Linked DNA regions of Oryzias latipes. The protein of the gene in region 1 binds, or shares a complex with, the protein of each later gene. Links are inferred from orthologs where the notes say so. Each region holds a gene or a part of one and is shown in the gene's direction. Other genes may lie near its edges.

Region 1 (6,388 bases):
TGCACTGCATAATTTCTTGATACAATTTGCATACTGATGGGAGTGGAAGGAGGACTTTACGGAGGAAAAAAAGCCAGAATTCTGTGATTTGATTATTGATCCATTAGTACCATCTACAGGCGGTTGATAAAATGACACCATGTCTTTTCACTTCAAGTCAAATCAAGTTAGATGTGCGAAAAGACAAAAATAAGTAAGTATTTATCCAACTTCAAATACAGACTCACTACAAAAAGCCCAGGTTCCATTTACTCAAACAGCTGTTGTTTGAAACATTTAAGTTTTAATGGTAATTAAATTTGGTGATGTCTTCATATATATATATATATATATATATATATATATATATATATATATATATATATATATATACACACACATATATATATATATATATATATATATATATATATATATATATATATATATATATATATATATATATATATATATATATTTATTTTTAAGACATTGCACAACATATTCAATTTGTACCTTTTCTAACTTATTAGTTCATGATGGGACAGGCAAATCCTTTTATCACAGACAGGGCCGGCCCTGGTCTTCCGGGGGCCCTAAGCGAGATTTAATTTGTGGGCCCTCTAACTGATCAGCAGCACCAACAAAACGCAACTGTTGTTGTAATATAAATGAGATATATCTAGTGCAGAATGTTGGAAAGAAGTGCCTTCACTGTTGTGCGTGTGTGCACAAATGTATAACTGTCTTTTAAGTAATAATGAAACAATAAGTTTGATTTGGGTTCCATATTGGGTAGATTTGAACTGACCAGCAGCAGCATCAACGTTTTCCCTTTCAACAGAAGATGTGGTGACAGGAGTTTCCTCTGCAGCTAAAAAACAAGAATCATTATACAATAATTAATGATGAAGTTAATAAAATAACTATAGCAGAATACTACTAATAGTTTAGTGGTTCGGTTAAAATCTGTGTGCAGGTTTTTCACAATGTCATGATCTTTTTATATATTTATGAAAAATAGATTGTTTGATTATATATTTGCACAAGATCATATTTATTTATTTATTAAGAACAGTTTAGGGCTCCATACTCTTCAGCCGCTGTTTATGGAAAAAAAGGGGTTATGCAGACACTGTTTTTTAAATTACTTTACATGCCACATGAGGGGATGTGGATGCTGCACCTCCTCCAATACTTTTTGATACTTTTTGAGAGCAGAAGAAAATGTTGGCTGACACGGAACTGTGCAAAACATCCTCATTATGTAGAACCAAAACTGCGAAATACAAATGAGAAAGAAATGTACCTATTTATAAATAATAAATGTGAATAATAATTTGAGTATAAATGGAAATATAAGCATTTATACACTTCTTATTCTATTATTTTGTATGTTCATAATTTTAAAATGAGTACATTTATTTTATTTGTCATTAATAAATTAGAACCTTTATTTCCTACTTGTATTTGGCAGTTTTGATTCTCCATATTCCATGCCAATGCAAGATTTTAAGACACATTGTTGAAAAAGTCAGACTACCAGACTGTCTATAACAGATAAACAGCAGTTTCTATACTGACGTAAACCGGAAAATGCAGAACGCACTAAATATGTGTTAGCAAAACAATTAAACAATACAATAACGTGAGTTAAACATTTATCAGCCATCACCGTTGTCGTTATTTAATCTTCTCTTCGCCGTTTTGGAAGGTCCTGTCTGACCTCATCCAGGAAACTTGGGTATCAGAATTATTTTAGAGTTTTCCATTGGAAATTACAACAAACGGGGTCGTTTATGTGCAAACTTCACCTGTCTTTCTAACTTTACCGAACTTCGGATCAATTAGTATTTTAAATCGCGAATGCACAGAAATACTGGATAATGTAAAAAATATGGCCCCATCATCCTCCAAACTTACCTTGTGATTGATGCTGAAGTTGTTCATCTTTTTTCAGCTCCTGATGGATAAAGTCTCTTTGGCATGAAGTGCTCTTGTTGTCGCTTTGATCAGCGTGACAAAATGAGCTATTTTTTTTTCTTTTCTCAACTTTATTGAAACAAAATGCGCTCGTAAATGCACACTGTGCCAGGCTCAGATGCAGTGATGTTGGCCAATCGTTGCTGAGAGTGGCGTAACGTCATTATTTGGGTTGCCAGATTGGTTCAGGTTTGTTGACAAGGGGGATCATTAAAGTGCAGCCAACTTTCTTTTGCACAACATTCACAGCTATGAAATAGGTTGCCAGATTTGGGTCTTTTTTTTATTTTATTTTTTCGCCACTTCGGGGCCCTGGTGATGTGGGGGCCCTACGCGGCTGCGTAATTCGCGTATAGGGAGGGCCGGCCATGATCACAGATTAATTGTCAAATTGTAAAAATTGTGAATGGCATTTACACTTTCCTTTCCTTACATTCAGGTGCACTCAAGCATAATCGGCTCTTAACACTGTGTTCACAGCCTAATCATTATTTTTTAAAGGAAACAATTAATTTAATTACTTTTTTAAATAATGTTTTACTTTTTTAATAAAGTTTTTATAAATTTTAAACTACATTTCAGGGAAACAAATTTAATTTATATGTTTTTCTTTGTTGGTAAGTCTGTTTTTACTTATTAGTTTGATTTTTTTTTCTTTCATTCCAGTTACTGTCTGCATTTTCAATAGGAACTATTTGTGACGTGCCAAGGTTTCCTGTCGACCGTAAAAAGTGACGGAACGATTACGCTGCAACAACGCGCACCTCACCGGTACACCAGTAGTAGTGTTTTACTCTCGGAGATGCGGGGCTTTTTCTTTTAAAAAAAACAACAACACTATTTTTGTATTTCATTTTCCTTTTATGCATCTTCACTCGGTCTGAAGTTGGACTAAAACGACCATATGAGCTCGTTTATCGTGCTGGAGATCTAATGATCTAATCAGAGCTAACCATTGAAATCTCTACGACCGGGTTGGTGAGACTCAGCATTCATTGTTATTTTCTTTCACAATAAAACCAGTTTTCGGTGATTGTTTGCTTTCGAACATTTGTTTTTTTCTAACCCGTCTATAAAACTAGTTTTGTAATAAACGTAATCATATTTTTACACATTATGAAAATGGCCGACATGATCATGTTGCACTAAACATTAGTGAAATACCTGCTAAAATGTCCTTTCTTTTTCTGTAAACCCTTAATAGCTCCAGTGAAGTGTTGGCAAATCCAGAAGTTGTTGATAAACAATCATGACATCTCTGGTAAGTTCTGACTTTTTTTTAATGATTATTTTTATTATTATTAACATGTAAAATGTTTTCGTTTCATTTAAGCTATTTTAGCCCGGCAGCTTCCGGTTACAGCAGGAAAGAAAACTTTATTAATCTGCGCTACAGAAGACAATGTTACACGAATTTATCAGTGGAGACTAATTGTAAAGCCTGAGTTGCATGCAGGCAAAAACTCATTCAATCAGAAGGTCGCTGATCTTATAGCAAAACCTTTTTTTAATAGAAATTCCACATTATTTGTTTGTTTGTTTGTTTGTTTACCATCTTCCAGGGGGGCAGCAGTGCTTCGACTACAGAATACACAGTGAGAGTCCCCAAGTGAGTAAATGAAAGCAGTAATGTGTTAGTAATGTTGACCATAACACAGAAATGACACCGTTATCCTTTGAAATAGTAATGTTTTGCATCATTCTGCCCTAAATTTGTCAACGTGTTACTTGACTCCGCCTTGCAAAAACAACTCTTTTTATTTTTTTATTTATTTTCTTGCCCCATAGAAATACAAGCAAGAAGTACAACATCATGGCTTTTAATTCTGGAGACAAAGTCAACTGTTCGGCCTGGACACAGGTGGGCTTCATGTCTTCTTTTTTGCTCCAGTAAAGTAAATCTATATTTTAAATTTGGTTATAATTAAAAACAATAAGATCTCTTAAAACATCCTTAGGAATTCAGAAATTTGTGACAAAATACAAGGGAGTACGGATTAATAAAGCAACTGCGTTTTATGACATATGTGGTACTAATGATGTTTTTTTAAATGTATTTTTTGTATTGAAATGTGGTGCCTCTTGGCCAGGTCTCCCTTGGAAACGAGATTTCTAATCTCGATGGGACTTCCCTTGTTTGATAAAAGTTCTAAAAAAAAAAAAGGTATTAAGTTAAATATCCTGCTTTGTCACTCCCCCAGGCTCGCATGGAACGCGACCTGAGTGCTCGGCGAATATATGGCGAGGAGGAGTTACCAGAGGGAGGGGCAGGGAGCGAGTTTGGCAAAAAGCAGCGCGAGGAAGCGCGGCGGAAGAAGTATGGCATTGTGACCAGAGAGTTCAAGGTGGAGGATCAGCCGTGGATTTTAAAGGTCAACGGAAAAGCAGGAAAAAGGTAAAGCGATAAATGTTTCTATTTTTGAAACTTAAGTACATTTTTTTTTTTTAATTTACCTGCAGGCTTTCTTGAAGTTATGACTTTTTTTTCTTCAAATAAAGAAAATCAATAAACCATATTTATTTAACCGTTGTAGAAAATGAGCAAATACGTCTTCGTACTGAGTAAGATTTGGTGTAATCCTCACCAATTTTTAACAAAATCTGTTGGTGTGTTTTTTATTTTTCCTAAAATGTTTATTGCAGCAAGATTCTCCTATGATTCCAGTTCTACAATCTTCAGTCTGGCTATAATATTTGTCTTTCTGCATCAGGTTCAAAGGTATAAAGAAGGGCGGCGTGACAGAAAATGCATCCTACTACATCTTTACGCAGTGTCCTGATGGAGCCTTCGAGGCTTTCCCCGTTCACGGCTGGTACAACTTCACGCCGGTGGCGAAGCACCGAACTCTGACTGCAGAGGAAGCTGAGGAGGAGTGGGGCAGGTTAGCAGAGCAGCAAGCTGGACTTGGAGAATGCCTTTTGTGTTTTAAAAGTCATTTCCTTCTTTGTCCAGGCGGAACAAGGTGGTGAATCACTTCAGCATCATGCTTCAGAGACGCCTCCGGGAACAGGAGCGGGGCGAGGAGGATGACGATGACGCCGACAAACCCGGAAAGAAGAAAAAGAAAGGGGGCGGGAAGGGTGGAGATTTGCGAATTCATGATCTGGATGAAGACCTGGAGATGAGCAGCGACGACAGCGACAACAGCATGGGAGATGGTAAGGATCCATGCAGCAGGCTCCAGAACTGTCAGGGCGCTCAGCCCCTTCCTCCAAACGTCTGTCAGCTCATTTTCCTCACCTGCAGCTTCCGTCTCTTCTTCGTTTGCAGATGGAGAAAACAAAGCAAAGGCAAAGAAAGACAAAGCCAAAGGGAAAGCAAAGAAAAAGAAACAAAAGAGCAATGAGAAGGATGCCCTGGAAGACAGCGATGATGGAGACTATGAGGGTCTAGAGGTGGATTATATGTCAGATGAAAGCAGGTGGGCTCCTCAGCGTATTTACCACATATACATATTAAAGAAAGAACATGTTTTTATTTGGTCTTTTTAGAAGAACAAGTCTGCATTTTTGATTTTCTACGTTCTTTGAATTCAAACTAAAGCTAAATGCGTGACACTTTTAGATCATTTGTTTCCTTTTTAGTTCAGAGGAGGAGCTAACAAAGGAGAAGCCAAACAAACAGGAGGAGCACCCTAAAGGTTTTTGTTTTTACACTAGGAACATTTAGCTGTTTTTTTTTTAAAAAGGACATTTTATAGAGAAATGAACGGCTACCCTGTTGGTTTCTGCTCAAATAGGCATAGATGAGGCATCTGAGAGCGAGGAGGAGAGCGAGGAGGAGAACCAGAATGAAGAAGAAGCAAAGGAGGAAGAAGAGGAGGAGGAAGGAAAGAAGACTCCGGTTCAGGTGGAAAAGAAAAAGAAAAAAGGTATCAGTTATACAAGTTTTTTTTTTTTAAATGATTAGAGGTATCTGAGGGGAAAAAGTCATGTAGGCTCATTTGTCGCAGACAGCAGCGGGGAGTCAGAGACTTCGGACGACAGCGACATTGAGGGAGAGACGGCCTCTGCTCTGTTCATGGCGGTTAGTTTTGTTTTTAGTGTTATTCCTCTTTAAGTATCATGTTTCTTTTCAAAAGGCATCAATTTTTCCAGAAGCAGATTTTACGTTTTTTTGTTCTTGAAGTCTCAATTTCCATGTATTTTGACATGAAACTTGTGACTTTTTATTTTTGAGTCCACATTTGGATTTGCTCAGCTGCAAAGAACCATTGGTCACTTTGGTAAAAGATCAAATCCTTTTGATAAAATGGCAATAAGAAAAAATCTATTTTATGTGCAGTTTTGACCTATAAAAGAAACATTTATTGAACAAAAATAAAGCAAACTGAGGGGGAATCGGATGTTCAGCATGTAAACTTAAAAGCGTCACCCCTCCTCTCTTCTCAGAAGAAGCGCACGCCCCCCAAACGTGCGGCAGGCC
Region 2 (6,674 bases), on another chromosome or scaffold:
CTCATGAAGGCGGGATGGAGCTGGTGGCTCTCAGTGGTGACACCTGACGCAAAGCGGCGCATCAGGTACCAAGTGTCAAGTCGAACCACCAGCTGCCCCCACTCCTACAAGACAAACATTGAGAGACCTTTAGGACTGAACTGTGTCAGCAATAGTGCAAACATAGTGAATCTGAGTTTGTTCCGAAAACAAGGCAGATGTCTTGGACACGCCGTCTCTGCTGCAGCAGTCGTGATCCACGTAGATGAGCTGGGGGGGAGGACCTTGGCGAGTCGATACAGGACTAAACGACTGTCTTTTGTTCAGGTGGGACAACACTGCGCCTAGAAGATCCTGAAGTCAAAGAAGCGGCTCCTGCTATCATCATCAGAAGACGAAGAAAGCCGAAGCAGCAGCTTCTGTATTTTAGAGAGGGCCTCCATCATGGACACATTTTCCATCAGAAGGTGTGGCCACACATGCAATGCTGGTGTCTCCTATAATGTGCAGCTGTCAGTAGGAAACGTGTGGAGGAAGAATAGGAAATAAAAGGCAGAAAAAAGACTGAAAGGCCATAAAAGTTTATTTGATTGAAAAATAGATACAATTTAACAGACATTTTGTGTTCTGCAGTTTTTCTTGAAGCTGTAACGATTTGTGCAAAATCAACATTTTATGTAGGTTTGACACTAAATGTAGCTTATTGACACATTTTAAAGTCCAGGATGTGAGGAAGAAGAACTGTTCAAGATTCTAACTTTGAGAATAAATAAAAATAGAAACAGATTTTTAACAGACGCTGTACTTTGAAAGCTAATCCACAACATGATGGTTCTGAAGCAAAGAAAGAGTTCATCAATCATGTTCAAAGGTTGAACACAAAGCAGAAGCAGTGATGAAAAACTCTGGGAAAAGTGTGAAAAGATCTTCAGGACGAGTTGAAGCGCCACACTTTTTGTTCTAATGCTTAAGCTTCAAAAAACCTTGATCCAATTTAGTTTTAGCTGACGTTTATGTGTGATGAGAGAGTTCTGCCCTCTTTGGTGAACACATCTGTCCAGAACACGGAGAGTTCTGCAGCTGCAGCTTTGTTTTGTCGATGATTAAGTCTGAAAAAAAGCACAAAACAATTTGTTTACTCAGTACTTTCACATCTCTTTGTGCCAAATGATTCAATGCATCATCTCTCACCACCAAATCAGCCCAATTTCAAAGTATTTAGAGATGCAAATACTTTGCTAAATCTTTTAGATTTCTCCTGCATTTCTATGATTTGAACCTTTTCAGTCTGAGTGTACAAAGTGAGACATGAACTCATGAGCTTCTGCACGGGTCCAGAATCCACCACTCCACCTCTCCCATCCCTTCCCAAGACTGACGACCTGCCTCACCTTGGACCTTCTTCTCCCATGAAAGCTGGTGGGAGTCTTCCTCTTTCTTCATCCAAAGTCAGTCAGTGGGTCGTTCTGTGTTTTTCCAGGTTTCTGCTGGTGAACAATGACAGAGGTTAGATCTGCCGCAGAAACACCAGCAGGTTCATCATCACAGCATCATCGGAGAAATCTCCTCTCAGCTTCTTCACTCCTGGTACTTTGCTGGATCTCATTTCCATTTAAATCTCTGCACACATTTTAGTTTTCTGTGGAAACAATATTCCTATTATTAAAAATGTTCTGATTCAAAAGAAGTTTATTCTTGATATTTTCTTTTCAATTCTACTTTTATTGCAAATAAACGTTCCCTGTAAAAACAAAATCATCTCCGCCTGCAAACTTTGTATTAAATATGTTCTTTCCTTTTCCTTTTTCACTAAAACACACGTAACAACGTGAGTTCACTTCTTCACAAATACATTAATCTCTTTTAGACACTTGAAATAATGCAAACTATTTATTTGTCTTAAAATAATGGAAAACCGGCAGTTATTTGAAGGAATTGGAACGAATCCGGCTCTCTGATTGGACACAGCAAAGTTTGATACTAGAAATTGGAACAATTCTGGCCATTTGATTGATTGAGAAGTTGGAACACTCTGATCAGGCCCGTCGGAGGAAGACTTCCTCTCGCCGTGCAGAAGCTCCCGAGTTCGCGGCCCGCTGTGCGCGGTTGCAGCATAAAGATCCTCTGCTGCTGATTCTTCTAAAGAAACAAACAACTGGAAGGGATTCACTTCTTCTCTCAACAGAAAGAACCTGTAAATGGATGAAAACCATGAACGCGTGAGGTCATCGATTGATCGATTCACAGACATTCATTAAAGGTGGAAATCAATGTTTTTACTGTGTTTGTCTTTAAAAACCTCATTTCTTAGTTTATTGTTTTATTTATTTAAGTAATGATTTTATAGTGTGTGTGTGTGTGTGGGGGGGGTCCATTTATAGATAAACAAAATCCTACTTGTGCTTTCTTTATTGTTTTTTAAATTCCTAAACTTTTTCAAGAGAGATTTTCTTTTTCGGACGTTCCCTGAATGTCTCGGACTAGTCACCTACTGGACTCCAGCGTGAAAGGTTCGGATCAGAACCGCTCTGGGTTCGGCTTTTGTGCTTCCGTGTCCTACTTCTCCCGAACAACCTGAGTCCAAACGACGGTGAGGAGCAGAATTCTGCTTTCTGAGCTTCACACATGCGACAATCATGAGAAGACGAGCAGCTCATGCGTGGCGGTTAAGATCAAAGAAATTGTTCAAAGCTTTTAGGGAAACGAAAGACGACGGCCGCCGTGTTTGCTCAATTAGTTCACTTTCTGGAGTGATTTAAGTCGATATTACGAGATTATAACTACTGCTTTCGTGAGATAACGGAATAGATGTGTTGCTCGTCTTGTCGAAAACACAGTTTAATGATGTGTTATTAGTAGAAAACAAAAACAAATTTAATTGTTGCTAACGTTCAAAGCTCTAATCTAAATAAATGGCGGATTTGAAAGTAGTTTCTGGCCCGCTAATTTCACCAAATTTCCATTCCGTTCCAGTAAATAACGTTAAACTTCTTATTTATTGCTGACTGTGGGTGTTTGTCGTCAATTTCTCTGCATTTGGACGGCCAGAAAGCGCGTAGAAAAGGTCCAGTTATTTGATCATTTGATCACTGTTTTTTTAGGACTACGGCAGTTGTCCTAAAGCGAGGTGATAAGGACACGTCTACAACTTGGGTGACTCCAACACGCTGGTTCACTCTAAGAAAAGCAGTAATAAAGTAATAGTATGGATTTATGTGGAGTTTGTTTGAACAATAGTGAGTACTTGTAATGTTTTAGAGGTTATTTATGTTGACTTACTGAGAAACTGCTATTGTTTGTCTGGGGTGTTTTGGTGTACTTTATTGACGGTCCCCGTCTGCCTCTGTAGCTTCACATCGAAGTAAACTCAGGCTGTGACTCGTTTTCTGCTTCACCACAGACACAAATAAAAAGTTTACACTAGTCAATAGAACTATATCCAACGTCATGTTTGTGGATAAAGTTAGTATGAAAAAAACAAAGCAGACCGGTGACCGGATGTGTCTGTGACACGAACACATTCTCAACTTCTAATTGCAGCTCATCTTATATGTTTGATGAGCAAATGAAGTTATTTGCCTTTATAGTTCTTGAAATACTGGAACAAAATTCCACAGAATAAATATAATGAAGATCCACCGTTTCTTTATTTTAGTTGAATGCAACGCTTCCATGTAATGAATCTCCAGGTGGAGCGGTGAAACAGCGGCACCATGTGGCAGATCTACAGCAGGTATTTTCTGCATTAAACATGACTGTATCTTTGTGTTTAGAAACAGGATTTTTGAAGTAGAATTTTACCTCACAGATGCTCACAATGTATTTAAAGAATTTCAGAGGCAGCATATTGGAGAAAAAGCAGGAAATGGTCAGAATTTAGTTCAACCAGGAGCCGACAGGCTCTCAACAGGGAAGCAAGCCACTCAGGATCGTCTCCGCACCAATGAAAGTGTATAATCCTGGTCTTTGATGGGTTCTTCTTATTGAATTTAGGTCCATGTGAGTTCTGTTCGTCCTGTTGCTGGAAGCAGAAGCACAGACTCTCGTCTCTGAGCTGATCTTTCTGCAGCGAGTCGTCGCTTTGGCTTCCTGCTTGAAGGCAGCAGCAGAATGACGTCAGTCTGACGCGATCAGACCAGTTTTCTCTTTCTCCACACAGATCCTTGTCTGAAAGAGTCTCCACCCCTGTGTGTGTAACCATCAGCACATGGGGGTTGGTTGGAGCTGCGGTGGGGGTTGGTAAAGGTCCTCCTGGAGGGGTGTTGACTCGACCTTTTGTTCTGGCGCTTCCGGGAAACCAGTCGCACTCGTCTGACGTGACAAAACCCCCCTTCTTTTCCCAGAATCCTTCCAAGAAGTCTCTCACAAAGTCAGAAAAAATGTAATTTTAATCTGATTTAAGCATTTAAGTCAAACTTTGAATGGAGATGGTGAACCTGAGACGATCCTGTGTCATGGGAGAAACAGAGGATCTTTTTTGGTGTTTTGTCTTAATTGTGGTTCCCTTTAAAGTCCACTGTGTTCCCTCAGATCACACCTCATGCTTGAGAAGAGTAGCAGAGGGGAGGGTTTAAAAAGCACTCCGAGACATTGGCTCATTGCACTAGTTCTCTAGTGCATATACTAAAATTGGAACGATACAGAGAAGATTAGCATGGCCCCTGCGCAAGGATGACACGCAAATTCGTGAAGCGTTCCTCATTTTCTCTTTTAAAAAACAATTTCACCTAACTTTGTGTCATTGTTTTAATAAAAATAGCCCTTAATATGAACCATCCAGCTAATATATGACAATTTTTAATAGAGTTCATAGCAAAAGTTTCAGGAAAACTCACAGCAGACAAAATTATAGATGTAAATTAAAGCCGTACGTGGCATTGTAGGCGCTACCCGCTTCTACACACCACCTCCGCTATCGCTGCCCACCTCTATGCAGCTCAGCCGCCCTCACCACCCAAAAAATGCATATACTAACCATCCTAACTATGGTAGTTATGCTAAAATGGCTAAAAGTGCTAGCTTAGCGATCAGCATCATCAGCGTACTCAGAAAAAACACATTGCTTAAGACTCTAAATATGCTAACACTGCTAGATATGCTATTTTGGCTAGAATTGCTAGCATTGCGATCAGCATCATCAACTCACTCAGAAAAACACATTGCTTAAGATGCTAATTATGCTAACAATGAAAGTTATGCTAGTATGGCTAAAAGTGTTAGCTTAGCGATCAGCATCATCAACTTACTCAGAAAAACACATTGCTCCATTAGTAAGAGCTACATATCATACGTTGATAAAAAATCCACTTTTATTTTAAATGGCGGCTTTTCTGTTGATTTTATCTCCATAGCAACCATTTTATGTTTTGGTTGCCAGCGGATAACGAGCAGATCAATGTCAGTTTCAGACGAATCAGAAAAAGTAAACTTAAGGATGTCCATAGCAACAGATGTTTTTTGCTAACCGCGCCCACATTCCTTATATGGCCATATCCAGTGTTCTTCATTATGTTCACTTCCAGCCAAGGATGCATGCATTCAAATTTCACAGCATTCCATTGAAAAACATAAGAGTTATAACAGTGCGCCACATTGGCTAGCTTGCCACGCGGACACCGGTCAAAATCTACAACTTGTAATTTCAACATTTTTTCCACAGTAGCTTGACAATGATACCCAAGAAGTTACGAGACGATCGCTAAAAATTTGTCAAATTTGGTACTGGAGGAAATTTTGGTCCTAAAGTGCTTTTTTTTTGAAAATTCAAGATGGCGGTCTCTTCCCAAGGTCAAAGGGCGACATCATTAATAGCGGCGTTTCCGCTGACTATGAAATTGCGCTAATAGAATTTGCAACAGTAAATTCACCTAATAGAAAAACGACAATTTTGAAAAAACATCTCTGTAAAATAATCACAAAGGTGTCTGAAATGATTTCATTGAGAAAAAGTGTCATTGTGTATTAATCCTTGTGCTATCCTAGGTACTTTAACACTGGGAGTTGGGTCATATAGACCCACTAGACAGTGCTCTGAACTTTTTTTCTTCAATGATTTGTGAACCTCACTGGTGTCCATGAAATCTTTCCACCTTTATCCACCTTTGTCATGGTAGGGAGAACACGTCAATGTAAGGGTGGGGTCATCTAAGATAGCACAAGGGTTACAGTGGCATGACTTTCTCATTCTTTGAGCTATCTGGATGATCTTTATGTCTTCGGAAAGCTCTCTTTAAGCCCTTTCAATGACATAAGGATCAGATAGATCCAGTTAAATTTGAAATTTTAGGTACGTCTCTACATAAACAACCTTGATTGATCTAACTGTGATTACCAAGTTTTCTATCCGCAAAACAAAGGCGATCAGCAAGACGTAAAAACATTGAGAACTTGCATCATTGTAGGTCTATTAAGCTATTTTGTTTATTTCTGTGTTCAGAAATGGAAGCTCTATCATTTGTGGTCACCAACTTTTATCTATTTACCTTGGAAAATGGTGGCTTGTGGTCCCTACCTGAAGAATATTACTTAGGAGAAAATATATCAAAACGTGTGTTTCCGCGCTTATGTCTGCACTGGAAACGTCCAACCATGCAGAAAAAAAGGACGGCCAACACACAATCAGCAATAACTTATACTATTTTCTAAGTAAAACATTTGCTATTACCTCGTGATGTCGACGTAGTTACTCGTTAACA

The links. Proteins that work in one complex are often made in the same cells at the same time.
Region 2: gtf2f1 (region 1) and polr2k share a complex: the UniProt entries of both Homo sapiens proteins name them as parts of the TBP-based Pol II pre-initiation complex. The link is inferred for Oryzias latipes from reciprocal best matches to the Homo sapiens genes GTF2F1 and POLR2K.

The regions. Positions count from the first base shown.
Region 1 is NC_019866.2:14,105,008-14,111,395, forward strand, and holds the start of gtf2f1 (general transcription factor IIF subunit 1), read left to right. Parts: upstream 1-2,673; 5' UTR 2,674-2,940; intron 2,941-3,166; 5' UTR 3,167-3,211; coding exon 3,212-3,223; intron 3,224-3,524; coding exon 3,525-3,571; intron 3,572-3,750; coding exon 3,751-3,823; intron 3,824-4,163; coding exon 4,164-4,357; intron 4,358-4,673; coding exon 4,674-4,844; intron 4,845-4,915; coding exon 4,916-5,121; intron 5,122-5,233; coding exon 5,234-5,384; intron 5,385-5,547; coding exon 5,548-5,603; intron 5,604-5,702; coding exon 5,703-5,834; intron 5,835-5,915; coding exon 5,916-5,989; intron 5,990-6,354; coding exon 6,355-6,388. UniProt on the Homo sapiens protein: TFIIF is a general transcription initiation factor that binds to RNA polymerase II and helps to recruit it to the initiation complex in collaboration with TFIIB. It promotes transcription elongation.
Region 2 is NC_019869.2:7,012,708-7,019,381, forward strand, and holds the start of polr2k (DNA-directed RNA polymerases I, II, and III subunit RPABC4), read left to right. Parts: upstream 1-2,455; 5' UTR 2,456-2,569; intron 2,570-3,634; 5' UTR 3,635-3,712; intron 3,713-3,795; exon of another isoform or gene 3,796-4,275; intron 4,276-4,579; exon of another isoform or gene 4,580-4,685; intron 4,686-6,674. UniProt on the Homo sapiens protein: DNA-dependent RNA polymerase catalyzes the transcription of DNA into RNA using the four ribonucleoside triphosphates as substrates.